2 linked regions of the Alligator mississippiensis genome follow. Each later gene encodes a partner of the first gene's protein in a complex. Links are inferred from orthologs where the notes say so. Each region holds a gene or a part of one and is shown in the gene's direction. Other genes may lie near its edges.

Region 1 (7,930 bases):
TTTCATTTTCAAATGCAATGAGTGGGTTTCTTTTCCATAAGCCCACAGAAGTGCACTAATTTACTCAGAACTCACCCTGCTTTACCTGCAAACAATGTTATACTTGTCATACAGTTTTCAGAATAACAATTTACCAATACCTATGTAATGCTAGAACTTTCTCACCCTCTCCATGTGAAGTACTTTGTAGAAGTCAATGCATCATATAGGTATACCAAAATAACAGAAAGGAGATATTCAAAGCCAGATAACAAATGAAAGCTGTTTCCACAGACAACCTCTGTTGCTACAATTTTTATTGCTCAAAAGGTAACAAAAGGGTATGAAATACATCTGAATTAGAAATAATGAAAGTGTCTGAAAATCAAAATTAGGCTCAAATGAGAAAAAGAATGTTCAGTTGCATAGCAAAACTGTTTAAACATGCTTATTGAACTTCAGCAAAAGCTTCAAAACGTACATCTGACAATTTTCCTTTTCTGTCTTGCAAAACTAAGCCCCCACTACTAAACAATCACTCTACAGGGGTAGATGAGGGAATGCTTGTGTTATAACAGATGAGTAGTTTTTTCATAGTAGGTGACATCTCAGATAAGTTTCTCACAGATGAGAAGTAATGCTCAACTTCTTGGGCCCTGGGCTGCTGGTTCTAATCTTCATTAAAACTAAAAAAAGTCATCATCTGCTTCACCCTCACTATTCGCTCCCACTCTTACTGGGATCAATGTCTCTGCTTGCTTGTGCTTGTTCCCTCCTGCAGCCAACTGGCTGCCCTGTTGACTTCTGCAAATGCACAGAAAAATGCCAGCATGAACTAAGGAACTCTGAGACTTACAGTTCTTAAGAGACCATATTTCATAGGAAGGCATCCTACTCTCTCTCTCTCTCTCTCAAACAAGAAGTCCTAGAGTTTCAATAAAGAACTATCATTCCATTTAAGTCCTAGGAGTAGCTGTCAGAAAAAACTCTGGGAAAGCCAGATTTCAATTTTTTTAACTTTTAACTTATACTTTAAAAAAAGTTAAAGTTAACCTTTTTTTTAACAAGTTAAAGTTAAAAGTTGACAGCTGAAAAATTTAACTAGTTACAGTTAAAAATTAGCCATTTCTTTAATTTTTTAACTAGTTAATTAACTAGTTAATTCCCATGGCTGGAACAGATCATTAAAAAGAAAGACCAGAACTGACAACAGCAATAAATGTGATATAACATATTTTATATGGAATAGACATGCATGTTCTATACAGAAAATATTTCCTTCTTTCTACAGATTATTCAAATATAACTAAAGCATGTTGAAATGAGAACAGCAGTAGTTTTCTGTCACGTGAAATTTCAATGTGGCCATGGGGAAGGGCCATTAGAACTACTGGCCACCAATGAAAGCTCCTATAGATTTTCAAACATTCCAGACTTGCCCAGGAGTCCACCTTGTAGACTTGCTTCAGCACAGGTCTACATGCATTCATCAATGAATTTAAGCGACCGCATGAGGAACAAACTTGGGAAAGGGTAAGGAAGGAACGAACCTTCTGCAGTTGTGTCCAGGATATTCAATAAAAAGGTATTTTTGCAGATGTATGGCAGATGTCCAGAAAATATGGTTCCATTTGGTAGACTTGGTTTGCTTTTGATGATGACGACAATGATTATGTTTTCTCCCCAGGTACGAAGCTCATTTCTGTAATTATGAAAGTGTGGGTAATGGACCCTAAATGGTAGATTTCTATTGTTGGAAAATCTAACCAGAGTAGAAACATGGGGATGAAAGCACCAGCAAGGCCAAGGGGTTTAAACAAATTCTGTCCACAATATGTCCCCTTGGTACAGTGCTCATTCAGAGCAGGTTCGAGGACTGATGGAGCAACATACTGACATTAGCTCACTGTTCTACATGGGCCATACTTCTTGGTGTGGCTAATTAGCGCAGGCACCATGCTAATTCAGCCAGACCACTTCTATAGCTTTTATTGTTTGGGTATCTCTGCCAGTCTGCTGCATGGGTAGGTCAGACCTGGGAGAGTGGCATGGTTTGCCACATTAGAGAAGCACTGATTTAGCAAGCCTCACAGGAAGCCTCTTGTGGAGACCACATCAAAATTTGCATTTGCCCTCCCCATGCAAAACCCATGAGCTGTGCAGCCCTCCCCTGGACTGAATTCTCAGCACAGCACCCTTATTATGTCCCTAAGTTATCAGAAGAGGAGAATCTCAAAGAAGAGAGTCCTACAAATATTTATAGTGCATTAAAGTATCTAGGAATGACACTCCTACAAACACAACAACAGTGGATTTAAATAATTACATTTGAAAATCTGAGAGGGAAAATGAACAGTAAATAGAAACCCACAGAGAGACAATTGCAAGAAGATTATTTGAAATTACATGTACAATAATGGAACGTGTAACTATGGAAATTAGACTTGTAAAGGACTGCTACCGAGGCTGAAATTTTTTAAACACAAAAACAGCAGGACACACACGTTATAATCCTATAAATTCAGGACTGGAGCCAAATTCTGCTTTCATTTACACTGGCACAAATCCAGAGTAAATCCTGAGATTTTAATGGTGCAACAAGGAGAAGAATTTTGCTTTTGGAAGGAAAGATAAGAGAGTTCAGTGCAGCAGATAAAACGATGTTGGCTGGAGAGCTGTGGAAGGAGTATCAATTTGTTTCAGTTGCCTCAGGAGAAATTCACTTAATACTTTTGGGTAATGCAAAGCTTTGAAAACCTGAATGTTTAGATGCCTTTTAAGAACACTTGAGACACATGCAAGTGTCAAGGTGCTACTATTTGTCAGCTATTTTAATATTGCAAGTCAAAAGGTATCTACACACTATTTTGCCTGGAAATAGGTTTGTCACATTGGTCCTGATCTTGGAAGTACTTACATCTGTACACAGCTTAACTCATGAATAGTTCTACTGCATTCAATGGAATTCCTGGAGAACATAAAATTAAGTTTGGGAGTTAGTGGCTGAGGCTCAGAGCAATAAGTGAACAAAAGGATACATTTTTTTCAGACCGGTACCAAGGGAAAAGCTATTATTAATTAGGATAGTTGTGCATGCACCTCTCAGAGCACTGTGAGGACTACGATCCTGTCAGTCAAAAACCCACCACAACCTTGCTGTCGCTTTATGCATATTATGTTTACAGCAGGTATAGACCCTTTTGTGATATTTGCAGAAGAAAAAAGGAGTTGAACTTAACAAGCATTCATTTCCCCCAGGGGAGCACAGCTCCTCAACCTCAGTACTAGTTTGCTATTTGGTAGGCATGTCTACATGAGATGCTACTGTGCAGTGGTTACTGCGCATTTATTTAGTACTCATATAATCAAGTACTAAATAAGAGCATTTATACACATCCTTTTTTTCCAGTGATATGCCAGAGATCTGCTGCTTTTCCCAATGCTGACGCACATTTTGCTGCTCATACAATTGTATGCGTCACAGCGCTAGGCGCTTGCCCAGCGTTGCGATGCATGCATGCTTAAAAGTGCCCTAAATGTGCAGCAATGGGAGTTACTGTGTAGTAGTACCAGTGAACATCTGTGATGCTACTGTGCAGTAGCCTAATAATACTGCACTGTAGCATATTAGCATTGTTGGCACTGTGATGTGCTACTGTGCAGTATGATTTGACTACTGCACAGCCAGCGTCTCATGTAGCTGTGCCCACTGCCTGCCTCTACACAAGCTCTTTAGTGCAGGGTAGAGTAATTAGCTGTGGAGTAAAGCATCACCGTCTACAGGTGTGAGGGTAGCAGGCTGCAGTAAACTAATTTATGCTGTTCTAAAATAGTACTATCCAGGAATGTACTATCTTACACCAGGGTAATTCACTCTGATTAAGCACATGTAACCAGGGGCAAGAACTGCACCCTGCCAGGCCAGCTTGCTGGGGGCCAGGCTGCTGCCTGTCACCCTGCCAGAGGCTCTGCACTTCCAGCACCCCTCAGGAACCCAGAGCTGATGCCCTTCAGCACCCTGCTAGCGTGGGCCTGCTCTGCCATGCCTCAATGTGCTGCTGTCCTGGGCACACATGCAGACACTATACCCAGGAGTAGTTTACTCCAGCTCAAACTGCTCCGGAGTTTATTGCTTTGCATTAATTGCAGGTCTAGAGCACCCAGAGGGAACAGAACTACAGCCTGAAATGCAGAGGAAACAGCTGAATCCTACTAATTTGGGGCCTCAAAAAAACAACCTGGGGGCAAGCTGGATCTAGGGCAACCCAAATCCCAATTCAAAGGCACTTAAGAAACACGAGAGTCTGCCAGACCCAGTCAGAGTTTAGCCTCAGAAACCTCCCCCGCCGCCCCGCCTCTTCTCAGCCCTGCCAGGTGTGGACGCGCCCCCCAGGCCATGCTGCTGCGACGAGGGCGCAGCCCGGCCGGACACAAAGGGGCTGAGCCCGGATCCAGCCGCGCCTGGCGCGGGAGGGGACGGGGCTCGCGGCTCAGCTGTGCCGGCCCCACTCCTGGGGACTCCCCTGGCGCACTGCCCCTCTGCGGACGGGGGGAGCAGAGAGGCTCCAGGCAGAGCTGCCCCCACCCCAGCGCTGCGGGCGGCAGCGGAAGCCAGCGGCAGAGCGGGAGCCAGCGGCAGCGGCGACCGCTCGGCCTCGCCTCACGAGCCGCAGCGCATGCGCAGTCCGCCAGGGCTGCCGCCCCCTCCCCTCCCCTCCCCTCCCCCGCTGCGGTCCCGGAGCTGTGCTCGCTGCGGGCGGGCGGGGCGGGGCGGGGCCGGGCCGCTCTCTCCCGGCCGCTGGGGCAGGAGGCGGAGGCAGAGGCAGCCGCGCCGGGGCCCTGCGGAGCGGCGCTGCCCCCAGCCGGCCCGGGAAGCTGCCCCCGCCAGTCCCGGCTGCGGCTCGGCTCGGCTCGGCGCGGGGCGGGGCGGGGCGGGGCGGGGGTCGGCCCCTTTGTCACCTCCTCCCCGCGCGGCCGAGGGGGAGGGGGCGAGGCTCACCATGATGGCGGCCGAGGCTGGGGGTGAGGAGGGCGGCTCGGCTCCCGCCGCCGGGACACCCGCCGCCGCCGCCGAGCCGGGCCACTGCGCTGCCCCGTGCCGGGCCCGCCCGCCGGGCTCTCCCGCCTCCTTCCCCGCGCCCCCGGGACTTGCCCCGCCGCCGGCCGCCGGCCACGAGATGCCCAGGGCGGCGCCCCCCGCCCCGGAGACGGCAGCCGCCGGGCCGGGCTCCGGCTTCCCGCCGCTGCCACCGCCGCCGCCGCTGGGCGCCGCGGACGAGGGCGACTCGCTGGACGGGCCCGAGTACGAGGAGGAGGAGGTGGCCATCCCGCTCACCGCGCCCCCCACCAACCAGTGAGTGCCGCCCGCCCGGGGGAAGTGCGTGGCAGCGCCCGCGCCGGGTTGCAAGTTTTGCCCCCCCTCCGCGCCCGGATCCCGGGGAAATCCGCGGTCCCGGCGCCAACAATGGGCCCGCGGGGTGCGGGAGCCGGCCGCGCCCGGCCACGAGGGACGCCCGTCCCAGCCGCGGGCGGGATGAGCTCTCGGGAAGTTCCTCCTCTTCCCAGGGTTTTTGGGCCGAGCAGCTCCCTGCCTCTATGCGCCTCGGCAGAGCTGGGTGCTCCCGGGACAAAGCTCCGATGTGGCCGAATGGCTCTTTCGTGACACCCCCCCCCCCCCCTTTTTTTTTTTTCTTAAACAAAAAAGAAAATCTGCGGGTGACTTTAGTTTTCCTGAAGCAGGTGGGTGGCCTGCTGTCCTGCTTGGGGTCCCCCCCCCTGCAGCCAGTCTTCCTGGGGGCTTTAAAGGCAGGTAATAATGTGTAGCTTTTCAGCACTTGGAGGCAATTTTTTTGTAAATGAAGGCTTCTGTAGCCTGGCTGATTTGGAAGAAGTTCATATGCAGTTAGGTCATTTTTGAAAAGAACTGGGCTTCAGTAAAAAAAAAAACAACCCCAACCTCCTCCCTGCCCTCTAACCTGCCCCCCCCCTCCCAAAAACCAACCCCAAACAAGTGGTGGTTTGTAGTAGGATTTCACTATGTTTGCCTTTTCATTAGCTTACCATGGATTCCTTCAGTGCTGATGACATAAAGGACATCCCGGACAGTTGTTACAGGTGTCACTTATGTTCGATTTCCCGCTGCCTGTGTGCTTACACTTGGACATACAGTCAGAACTCGAAACGGGCACACAGGCAAAAAGCTTCTGGGTGTACTAATAACTTATCTGTAGGGCAACAGCTACCTTGGGGCACACAATGCCCTACAGAAAGACAAGTCTTTCAGGGACTGAAATAGTAAAGTTGGTATTTGGGTATATAAATGGATGCCTAAGTTAGGGTGAAGCCTCATATATCAGATGCATTAGAGGGGCAAGATGTAAAATGGGAATGCAGATTTGCAATGGCAAGTATTATTTAGATGGGTTCTGGCTGGATTTCTTATCCTGTGTGTTAATGGGATCTGGGAAGTGGTTTGGTTTCAGTGTTGTGTGTTATGTTCTCACAGTAGTTCAGTGTAAAATTCTTCTTGCATGTTTATGGGCTTTCATATTTTTAAAAGCTTTTTCCCATCCCCATTACTCCCCACTTCCCTGTCAAATGAGTGCAAAAAGGCACCCCCTTACTGATGTTGTTTTGTCTAGAAATAACATAATGTTTTCATAGCCTTAAAAAAAAATTACCTATTCATAGTCTGTTTTTCTTGCTAGCTCTGTAAGACTGTGTGTACTTTTGGGAGGGTTCGTGTCTAATGTTAATACAAAGTGGGGAAGGTGCTCCATCTCTTCAGAGGCAGCTTAAACTTTCCATGTTGCGAGTTTCTTCTTCCCAAGCTCAGGATGATAGCAGAGCTGCTGTACAAAAAAGGAGGGCAAAGATATGTTTTCACACACAGCTCTTTAACCTTTCCAGTCATCCTTGATTATGTTTTCTGTTTTTTATGACTCGATTCCTAAGAATAACGTCCTTAATGAAATAGAGACTGTTCAAATGTTTATGAAAAGCTATCCTATTCCTCAGACAGATCAAAATGTGAAGGAACAGGAGGGACAAAAAATGAGGGGAAATAGAGGCACTGGCAGGTGAGGTGACTTATGCAAGAGGACATAGCAAGTTAGTGACAGAGGTCTTGATTTCCTTTCCACAAGACCAAACTTCCTCTCTTCTGCTGCAAGAACTAAATATTGCATACTTCTCACATGGATGCCCAACAGATCTGTAACAATGGTTGATTGGGTGATTGTTTAGGTCAGTGACTACTCATGTTTCTAAATACATTTTATTGTGACTTATAAATGTGAATACTTTTTAAAATTCCGGTTGGAACACCAAATGTATATGCTAGCAGCGCAATTTTTATGCAAAGCCTTACATACTTTTAAACTACTTCAAAACAGTGAAGTGTCTGGCTTTTTATAAATGGATCTTATTGGAGGACTACAATAGCCACAATCTTGCCGTCTTTAAGCGCATACTTCAGTTGCATTCTTTTGTTAGATTACTCACATGATTAAAGCAAAGCATGTGGCCCTGATCTTTGCAGGATCAGGGCCAACATGTTGGGGTAGAAATGTTTAAGGTACTCGAAACATTTCTTTAAAGTATAAAAAAGGGATAGCTATTGAAAATGGGATAAATTTCCAGAGAGGTATTTCAGGAGTGATACCTGCCTCTGAATCTAACTTCATAATCATATTCCTGTTGTGTTTATTTTTTCCTGCTGCTGTGAGTGACTTGCAAGCTTGATTGTACAGGGGAAACCAGTGACACTGACATTTCACTAAAGAAATGGGCCAGACAAAAACTTTTTTGATTTGTTTCTGATTTTTTTTCAGTGTTTAGCTGCTTAAGTTTAACAGTAACTTTTATCCTTTCCATTTTGTTCTTTTTTTGTTTTGCAAGTGTTCTTCCCTGCAGTTTAATCGCTCATTTTTTTGAGTATGCGTCTTTGTTC
Region 2 (7,166 bases), on another chromosome or scaffold:
GAGCGAAGGACTGGGCCCCGTGCTGGGGCTTGTGAAACCGCAGTTCCCAGAGGCTTTCCAGCCGCCCGCAGCCAGGCTGGGCTGCCGACGGCATCCTCCGTACGCCTCCCTCCGGCCTCTCGTGCCCGTGGGCTTCCCAGAGGGCTCGGCCGCTCTCTGGTCTCAGCAAAGACCAGGCAGTGCCTAGTGCCAAGTGGCTGGGGCGATGCTGGCAGTGGGGTGGAGCGGTAGCCCGCCCTGCCACGCGGGGAGCGGCACAGGACAGCGGGAGAGGTGGACCCGGGGTCCCAGCCGTCGGGGTATCTCTGACGCAGCAGAGTCTCGCGCAGCAGATTTCAGCACCTTGCTCCTTCCACGCCCTGCCCGAAGCATCGTCCTCGGCCTGCCGGTCCGGTCGGTCCCGCTTGCAGCTCAGCAGCTTCCCCCCCTTGTTCTGTTGTTTCCCACGCCCCTGCATCAGGCGGGTGCCCAGCAGGGCCGTCTCCTGCGCGCACAGAGGAGCAAAGACTTGGACGAGCCGGCGTGGGGATGCTGTCTCCTTTGGTTCCAGATTTCTCTGGGACTTTTGCTGGCTGGAAGAGTCTTCAGCAAGTTACTATCCTCTCAAGGATGCTTTGGTCAGGCCACAGCTCCAGTTCCCAGCTCTGCTTGTCATCGGGGAAGTCATTTCCTCTCCCGGAGCCAAGCTTCCCCACTGTGAGATGGGGATAAAGCCACGCCTGTCTCCAGTGGGGACCTGCGAGGAGAACCAGAAATAGCCTCCCTGAGTCACCGGCGGCCGTCTGAAGCTGTGATTATTTCCCACCGAGCAGGGGCTGAGTTTACAGAAGGCTCAAACCGCCTCGCCAGGATGCTAGACCACGGAGGAACGGGGCTGGAGGATGAAGCGCCCTGCTCTCCCGATGGGCGATCTACAGCTTTCGGGCGCTGCCTCTTCTCTAAGTGCTGGGCTCTGGCGTGCGCCCCAGAGGCATCTCCCTCTCCCAAGCTTTTTGATACTGCTTTGTAAAGGTATTTCAGGGTCTGACTCGCATGAAACCCATAGGAACTGAGTGCCTCTGAGCCTGGCCCGTGCAGGCGACACAGGTATTGCATCATTTGACCCTCTGTGGACAGCTGGGCAGCACCGGGCGGTGGCAGATACCCATCCAGGTTAGACTAAATCTCACATCAGGCATCGTGCCTCATACTCCAGCTGGGGTTTCTTGGCCATCGCAATCCCGGCAGCTCTCCTGTCCTCTAGGCGACCCGCGGACCCGGCCACTTCAGTGCCTGGCTGGAGAGGCGAGCTGCCAGGAGAGCACTACCACGGGTCCGTGCCTTTTCCTTCCTGCCTCCCAAGGGTGAAAAGCAGCTCCCAGGCGTCTGGGCTTTGCTGGTTGCCGCATGGGGCTGGAAGGGAAACCAACCCCTCCGTCACGCCCCCCTTACAGTGAGGCCCAGGGAAGCTGTGGACTCTCCACCCCTGGAGGGGCTCCAGGGGAGGCTGGGCAGCCACTGGCTGGGGTGATCTAGGCGTAGCGATGCCCATGCTCCACTATGGGGATGTCCCGGGCTTCTGGGCTTCGCTGGTTGCCCCCCTCCACGATGTGCCGGGGGGGTTTAGGCCTTCCTCAGAGCCGCTGGGTGTTGGCTGCAGCCCAGGCTGGGGATGGCAACTAGCCTGTGCCAATGTATCTGCAGGGACCTACGCCTGAGGGTCCTGGCTAGAGGGTCTCACCTTGCTGCTCAGGGTCAGACTGATGCTGCATTTGGGAATTTTCTCCCATAGTCAGACTGGTACGGACTGGGGGGGCTTTGCTTTCTTCCGCAGTGGGGACGTGGCCTCAGCCTGGGATCTCTCTGGTGTATTTGAACAGCCTCCTCCAGCAGCAGGACATCGGGTGTCGTGGTCCCCCTGCCTCACCTGGAGCAGGTTCGGATGCGATGTCTGATGCTGTGTCAAGGTTGACGGTAGTTTTCCAAAGAGGTTTGGTGGTGGATTTGTCTGGGCTGGTTCAGACGGGGCTGATCCTGCCTCGGGCAGGGCCTTAGACTAGACGTGACCTCTGCCTACCCCACCACGCCAGGATTTCTATGGAGGGTTTAAAGGGAAAAGACGTTTTTGGTCGGTTCCCCCTTCTGCCCTGCATTAGGAGTGCCGGGCTTGCCCAGCCGGATTCTCTGTGAGGCCGACTTTCCTACGATCCTGTGTGACACGACACACATACCATTGTAACCTGCTTTGCTGGGCCTGGCGCCGGACCCCATGTCCTCAGCGCACACGGGTGGATCTAGGGTTTTGAAAAGGGGGGTGCAGATAGTGTCAGCCCAGATGACAGGACAAGGAGCAATGGGCTCAGGCTACAGCAAGGCAATTTGAGGTTGGATATTAGGAAAAACTCTCTCACTGTGAGGGTGGTGAAGCACAAGAACAGGGTCCCCAGGGAGGTGGAGGAGTCTCCATCCTTGGAGGTGTTTAAGACCCGGCTGGACAAAGCCTTGGCTGGGATGATGTAGTTGGGGCTGGTCCTGCTCGGAGCAGGGGCTGGACTAGAGCTGACCTCCGGAGATCCCTTCCTGCCCTCGCTGTCTGTGATCACAGCTAACACAACACACGCCTTTCTCCACTTAGAGAGAAACTAGAAGCTTTACTAATGCACTGGGGGCCCAGCGCTGTATTATTCAGTGTGTGAGCAAAGCAAAACACAAACAGCACTTTACTGAAGTGCAGACTCATTTGCTAGCTTCTATATTAAGCTTAAAAAACACAACAAACTAATAAAAAAAAAAAAAAAAGGGGGCCAGAGCTATTGTCTCATTCGTCCTGCAGTCATAAATAATAATGAAATGCACGTCTCTCAGCCAGATTTGTAAAGCAAAATCTTGCCGCCTGGAGCATCTTGTGCGTGCCTCTGGTGCTTCGCTGTCAGTCCTTTCCATACCTGAGCTAATGTTCCCCTGAGGGCGTGTGACCACACCTGAGTTCAGGGGATGATCCAGGGCAGCAGCGCTCAGCCGTTGGCTCGTGGGCCAAAGGCGGCTTGTGGAGCCGTCACGTCCAGCCCGCCGGGCTCTCCACCGGTCAGGAAATTTGGTGGTGGGGGAGTGATGGCAATTAATACGGCCGCCCTCCCCGCTGCCAAACTCCCAAACCCTGCACATCTGTGCTCCCTTCCCCCCATGGGACCGAGCCATGGCTGGATTGGGATGGTCCATGCCTCCCCACAGCTGGATCGGGATGCCACCTCCCACTCCGCAGCTGGATCAGGGCTGGGCCACGCCTCCTCACAGCTGGATCGGGGCTGGGCCCACCCCGCTTTTTCTGCACAGCCAGATTTGGGCCAGCCTGCCCCCGCCCCACTCCACGTGGCTGGACGCAGCCTGCCACGTCGGACTGGGACCGCTGGCCGCGTCTGGCTCGCAGGCGGAGCAGGCACCCCCCAGCCAAAAGGGTCGTGCAGTGCTGGACCGGTGAAAGATCCAGACGGTTATGGAGCTGAGAGGGTCCTTCACACCCAGGGAGCGAAGAGATCAGCAGGAATCAGGGGGATGATCAGGAGCGGTGAAGTCGGCCGATTCCCTGAGCCGCTGCCGGGATAGAAACGCCCCTGCTGCTCCCAGGCAGGCGGTTATAAAGCTCGGGCAGGGCAGGAATCATGGGGTGGGAAGGGGCAGCTGCCCCAGCGCCCGCCAGCCACACACCACGCCGAGCAGCGCGGCAGGGGCTTTGTGGCAGGACAGAAGAGAGGATGCAAAAGGCGCCTGCTCAAGGGGCCAGCCCTGGCCCAGTGGGCCGGGACCAGGGTGTCTCGCCCCACCCCCGGCCTAGTGCCACCCTGGGGACACCAGTCACAAGAGGGGGCAGGGTCATGACCTCTGGAAATCCCACCCACCCACTTCACTAAGGGGGGGAGGGCGCATGCGCGGAGAGGCGGCCCAGGTGACAGGGGCTCGCACGTGGGAAAGAAGACATCTCTGCGCACGCGCGGCTCACCGCTTTTCCACGCGCCTTCCCCCTCGCGCATGCGCACACACAACCTCCCTCCTCCCTCCTCGCACCGCCCCCTTCCCCCTCCGCGCCTCTCCCGCGCATGCGCCCGGCCCCTTCCCGCCCCTCCCTCCCGCGCATGCGCGCCGCGGCCCCTCCCCCCGCGCCCCCCCGCCGCCCTCGGTGGCTGCTGAGGGGAGGAGGAAGGAGCCGCCGCCGCCGCCGCCGCCATTACGGGCCGAGCCCGCCCCGCGCGGCCCACGGGGACATGGCGCCGCCGCCGCGGTACGTATGGCCCCCCCCGGCCCCGGCCCCCCGGCGCGGGCGCCGAACAATGGGCCGCCCCTCCCCGCCCCGCCCCGCCACGCCCCTCCCCCCGCCGGGCGCAGGGGGCGGGGCCGCGGGGCCTGCGCCCCTTGACGGGGGGGGGCAGGGACCCCCCTCGGGGGCGGGGGGCGGGGCTGTCCCCCCCACCCCACCCCACCCACGGGGGCGGGGCTGCCCCTCCCCCACCCCCACCGAGGGGGGCCCCTCCCCCACCTGGGGGTTGCCCCCCTTTCTCTTCACCCCACCCTCATTGGGGGGCTGCCCCCCCTTCAGTATCCCACCCCCATTTTGAGGGGGGAGGGGCTGCCCTTCCCCCCCCTTGCCATCTTCATCCCACCCCCAACCTGGGGGGTTGGACTGCCCTGCCCCCCTCCCCCCCGCTGGCCTGTTTGCGGCTGGGGGGGGCTGCCCCATGAGCCCCCTCCGCCCTCTGTGGTATTGGGGGGCTGCGAGTGCGGGAGGGCCCTGGGGTCCCCCCCATTCACCCCCCCCCGCTGGCTGTGAGGAGAGCTCGAGGCGCCCCCGCCCCCGCCTTGGGGGCCGTTGCCTCCTGCCCCCAGCTCTGCCTGCGCGCCCGAGCGCCGCTTGGGGTGGGGTGCTGGGGCTCGCGCCCCGCGCCCTCGTCACCCCCAGCCGTGTCGGGGGCTGCCCCCGCCCCGCCCCGCCCCACGGGCAGGACCGCCTGGTGCTGGTGCCGGGTCCGGGGGCGCCCGGGCGGTGCCGTTACCCCGCAGGGACGGGGCGCTGCAGCTCGAAACGATTCGCTGCCTGCGACGGTGCCTCGACCCGCCCCTCCCTCCCTCCCTCCCTCCCTCCCCACGTGTCTGGCTGGGGTCTCCGTGTACCCGCTCCGGCCGGCCGTGCATCCGACGGGAGGCTCCGGCAGCGCAGGGTTCGGTCGTTTGCTCGGGTCCGCCCGCGCCGCGATCCCCTTTTGTGTTTGTCGCTGCTTACGTAGCTCCGAAATAACCCCCCGTGTGCCTGCACGGCCCCCCGCGCCGTGGCCTGCTTCGGGCGTCTCGCCCCGCCAAGGCGTGTTCCCGGGAGATTGAAATCGAAATGACTCCGGCCTTCAGGACGGGCACGAGTTTCCTGTTGTGAACGGGTGCCGAGGCGCGTTTGCCGGGGCTGGGCGACGGCCGGCCTGGTCGGCGCGGCCGGTTCATTCAGGAATCCGGTGCGATCCTGCCGGCGGGAGACGGACGGCCTTGTCGCTCTGTTTGCTCGTAATGCAGAATTGTGCAATGTTTCTTGTCCCGAGATAGCAACTGGAGTGCGTGTGTGTGCGTGTGCGAGGTCTGGAAACAATACCGAGCGCCGGTTTCCAGCAAACGTTTCCTTGCTGCCGTGAGCGGGAGGGTCGGGCCTGTTGTATCATCACCCGCGCTCTTAGTGCAAGGGGGGACGGCTCGTGTCTGTTCTTGCTGGGTTTCCACAAGGAAACGAGCAGGCAGGTTTGCCCAGGGCTGGTTTTCTTCCTGCTCCCCCCGCTCCCCTGAGCCGAGAGCTGGTTTCTGTAAGGGCTGCCGGGCGTGCGGCTTTCCATGCTGTGAGCCCGCGCTGGAGGAGGGAATTCAAAGCCAACGACATTTACATCTGCTTTTGTTCCCGTATCGACGGCTTCAAGAATCTGTGGCAGTAACATTTGTGTGATCAGTGTGTGCGCCTGGCGGAGAGGCTCTTTGTTTTCCAAGGTGGTGTGTTTTCGGTGCGGAGCCTGCCTTGCTCATCCGGTGGAGAGGTGATGCTCTTTCCTAACACGGGTTTGTTCCTAGAAGGAGCTGGGCAGGCTCCCTTTAAAAGGCAGCACCGTTTTCTTGGTAGTTTCTCTGCTTTCCCCCTTGCCAAGCCCTCCAGACCCACACTCTGCTGTAAAGTCGATTGTGTTTCTCCAATCTCGCTTGGCTCTCCCTTCACAGCCCCCAAAAAGCTCTGCGGCCCAAGGGGATCTGGGATAATGGAGAGGGTGGGAGCCGACCTACAAAAGCGGCCGTCGAGTTCTTCTGTTTCTCCCTGCTGTTGTGGTTGTACAGTTTGTACTTGAATCGAACCAGTAAAATGCAACGCCAACATGCCCTGTTTCTTTTCTCGGCCATTCAGATGGAAATGGGTTCATAATTTCGGTGGAGTCCAGAGCTTGCTTTGCCACTGTCACTCACTCTCCCTGGTTTTTAACAATACTTAACTTTCCCTGCTGAGTCACTGGTGACCTGTACTCCGATAGCAAAGGTCTGAATGAACGGGCTTGAGCGACTGCGTTTTGGTGGCAGTTCGGTGTTTCCCAGAGCACGTAACCTGGCTCTTAATTGCCTGTATTTTCAACTTTCCCTCCAGAGACATGCCAGGGGCGAGGTCTTTTCTTCTGTGGCGTGACATTTTCAGGATTAACGGTGCTTCTCGAGCTGTGTGGTAAAATGTTACTGAAGTTTGGAGAACGCGCCTTTCTCGCCATGCCTCAGTGACTGCGTTTGTAGTGCTAGGTGCGTTCTGGCTTCGAGCAAAAATTCAGTGCGAGGAGGGAAGGGCACTGATTTCCTGGGGTCAGGATTTTTACTGCAGGAGTGGAAAAAGGTTTTGGCAGTGAGCGGACACAGTGGTGGTCTCCCACTTGCCTTGCTGCCTAGCTGACCTGTATTACGAATACGTCGCTACTATAAAGTTACCTGATCAGTATGATTTCTGCCTGGACTTGCACAGGGGCCCAGATCTGTGCTGTGGATGCCCATCGCTGTGTGCTAATCCTCTGCATACTAGAAGGCCTGAATATTTCCCCAGTATGGTCAACGGCTTGTTTACATGTTATAAATTTTCTGAATAGTCTGTAGCATCTTTTCTTTCCCCTGAGCAGTGCCCAGAAATGTTTTATTTT

What was found.
Region 2: the proteins of RASA1 (region 1) and ARHGAP35 are in contact, whole or in part, in a crystal structure (PDB 8DGQ), measured with the Homo sapiens proteins. The link is inferred for Alligator mississippiensis from reciprocal best matches to the Homo sapiens genes RASA1 and ARHGAP35. Residues at the interface, in NP_002881.1 of Homo sapiens: Arg188, Arg207, Ser209, Arg211, Val217, Asn228, His229, Phe230, Arg231, Ile241, Gly242, Tyr256, Leu262, Leu263, Lys264, Lys358, Ser379, Asp380, Asn381, Ser387, Gln397, Arg398, Phe399, Lys400, Met411, Gly412, Gly413, Arg414, His425, Tyr426; in NP_004482.4 of Homo sapiens: Ser1085, Asp1086, Tyr1087, Ala1088, Glu1089, Pro1090, Met1091, Asp1092, Ala1093, Val1094, Val1095, Arg1098, Glu1100, Asn1103, Ile1104, Tyr1105, Ser1106, Val1107, Pro1108, His1109.

Annotation. Positions count from the first base shown.
Region 1 is NC_081826.1:245,121,749-245,129,678, reverse strand, and holds the start of RASA1 (ras GTPase-activating protein 1), read left to right. Parts: upstream 1-4,892; 5' UTR 4,893-4,979; coding exon 4,980-5,332; intron 5,333-7,930. UniProt on the Homo sapiens protein: Inhibitory regulator of the Ras-cyclic AMP pathway. Stimulates the GTPase of normal but not oncogenic Ras p21; this stimulation may be further increased in the presence of NCK1.
Region 2 is NC_081838.1:651,666-658,831, forward strand, and holds the start of ARHGAP35 (rho GTPase-activating protein 35), read left to right. Parts: upstream 1-4,127; 5' UTR 4,128-4,255; intron 4,256-7,166.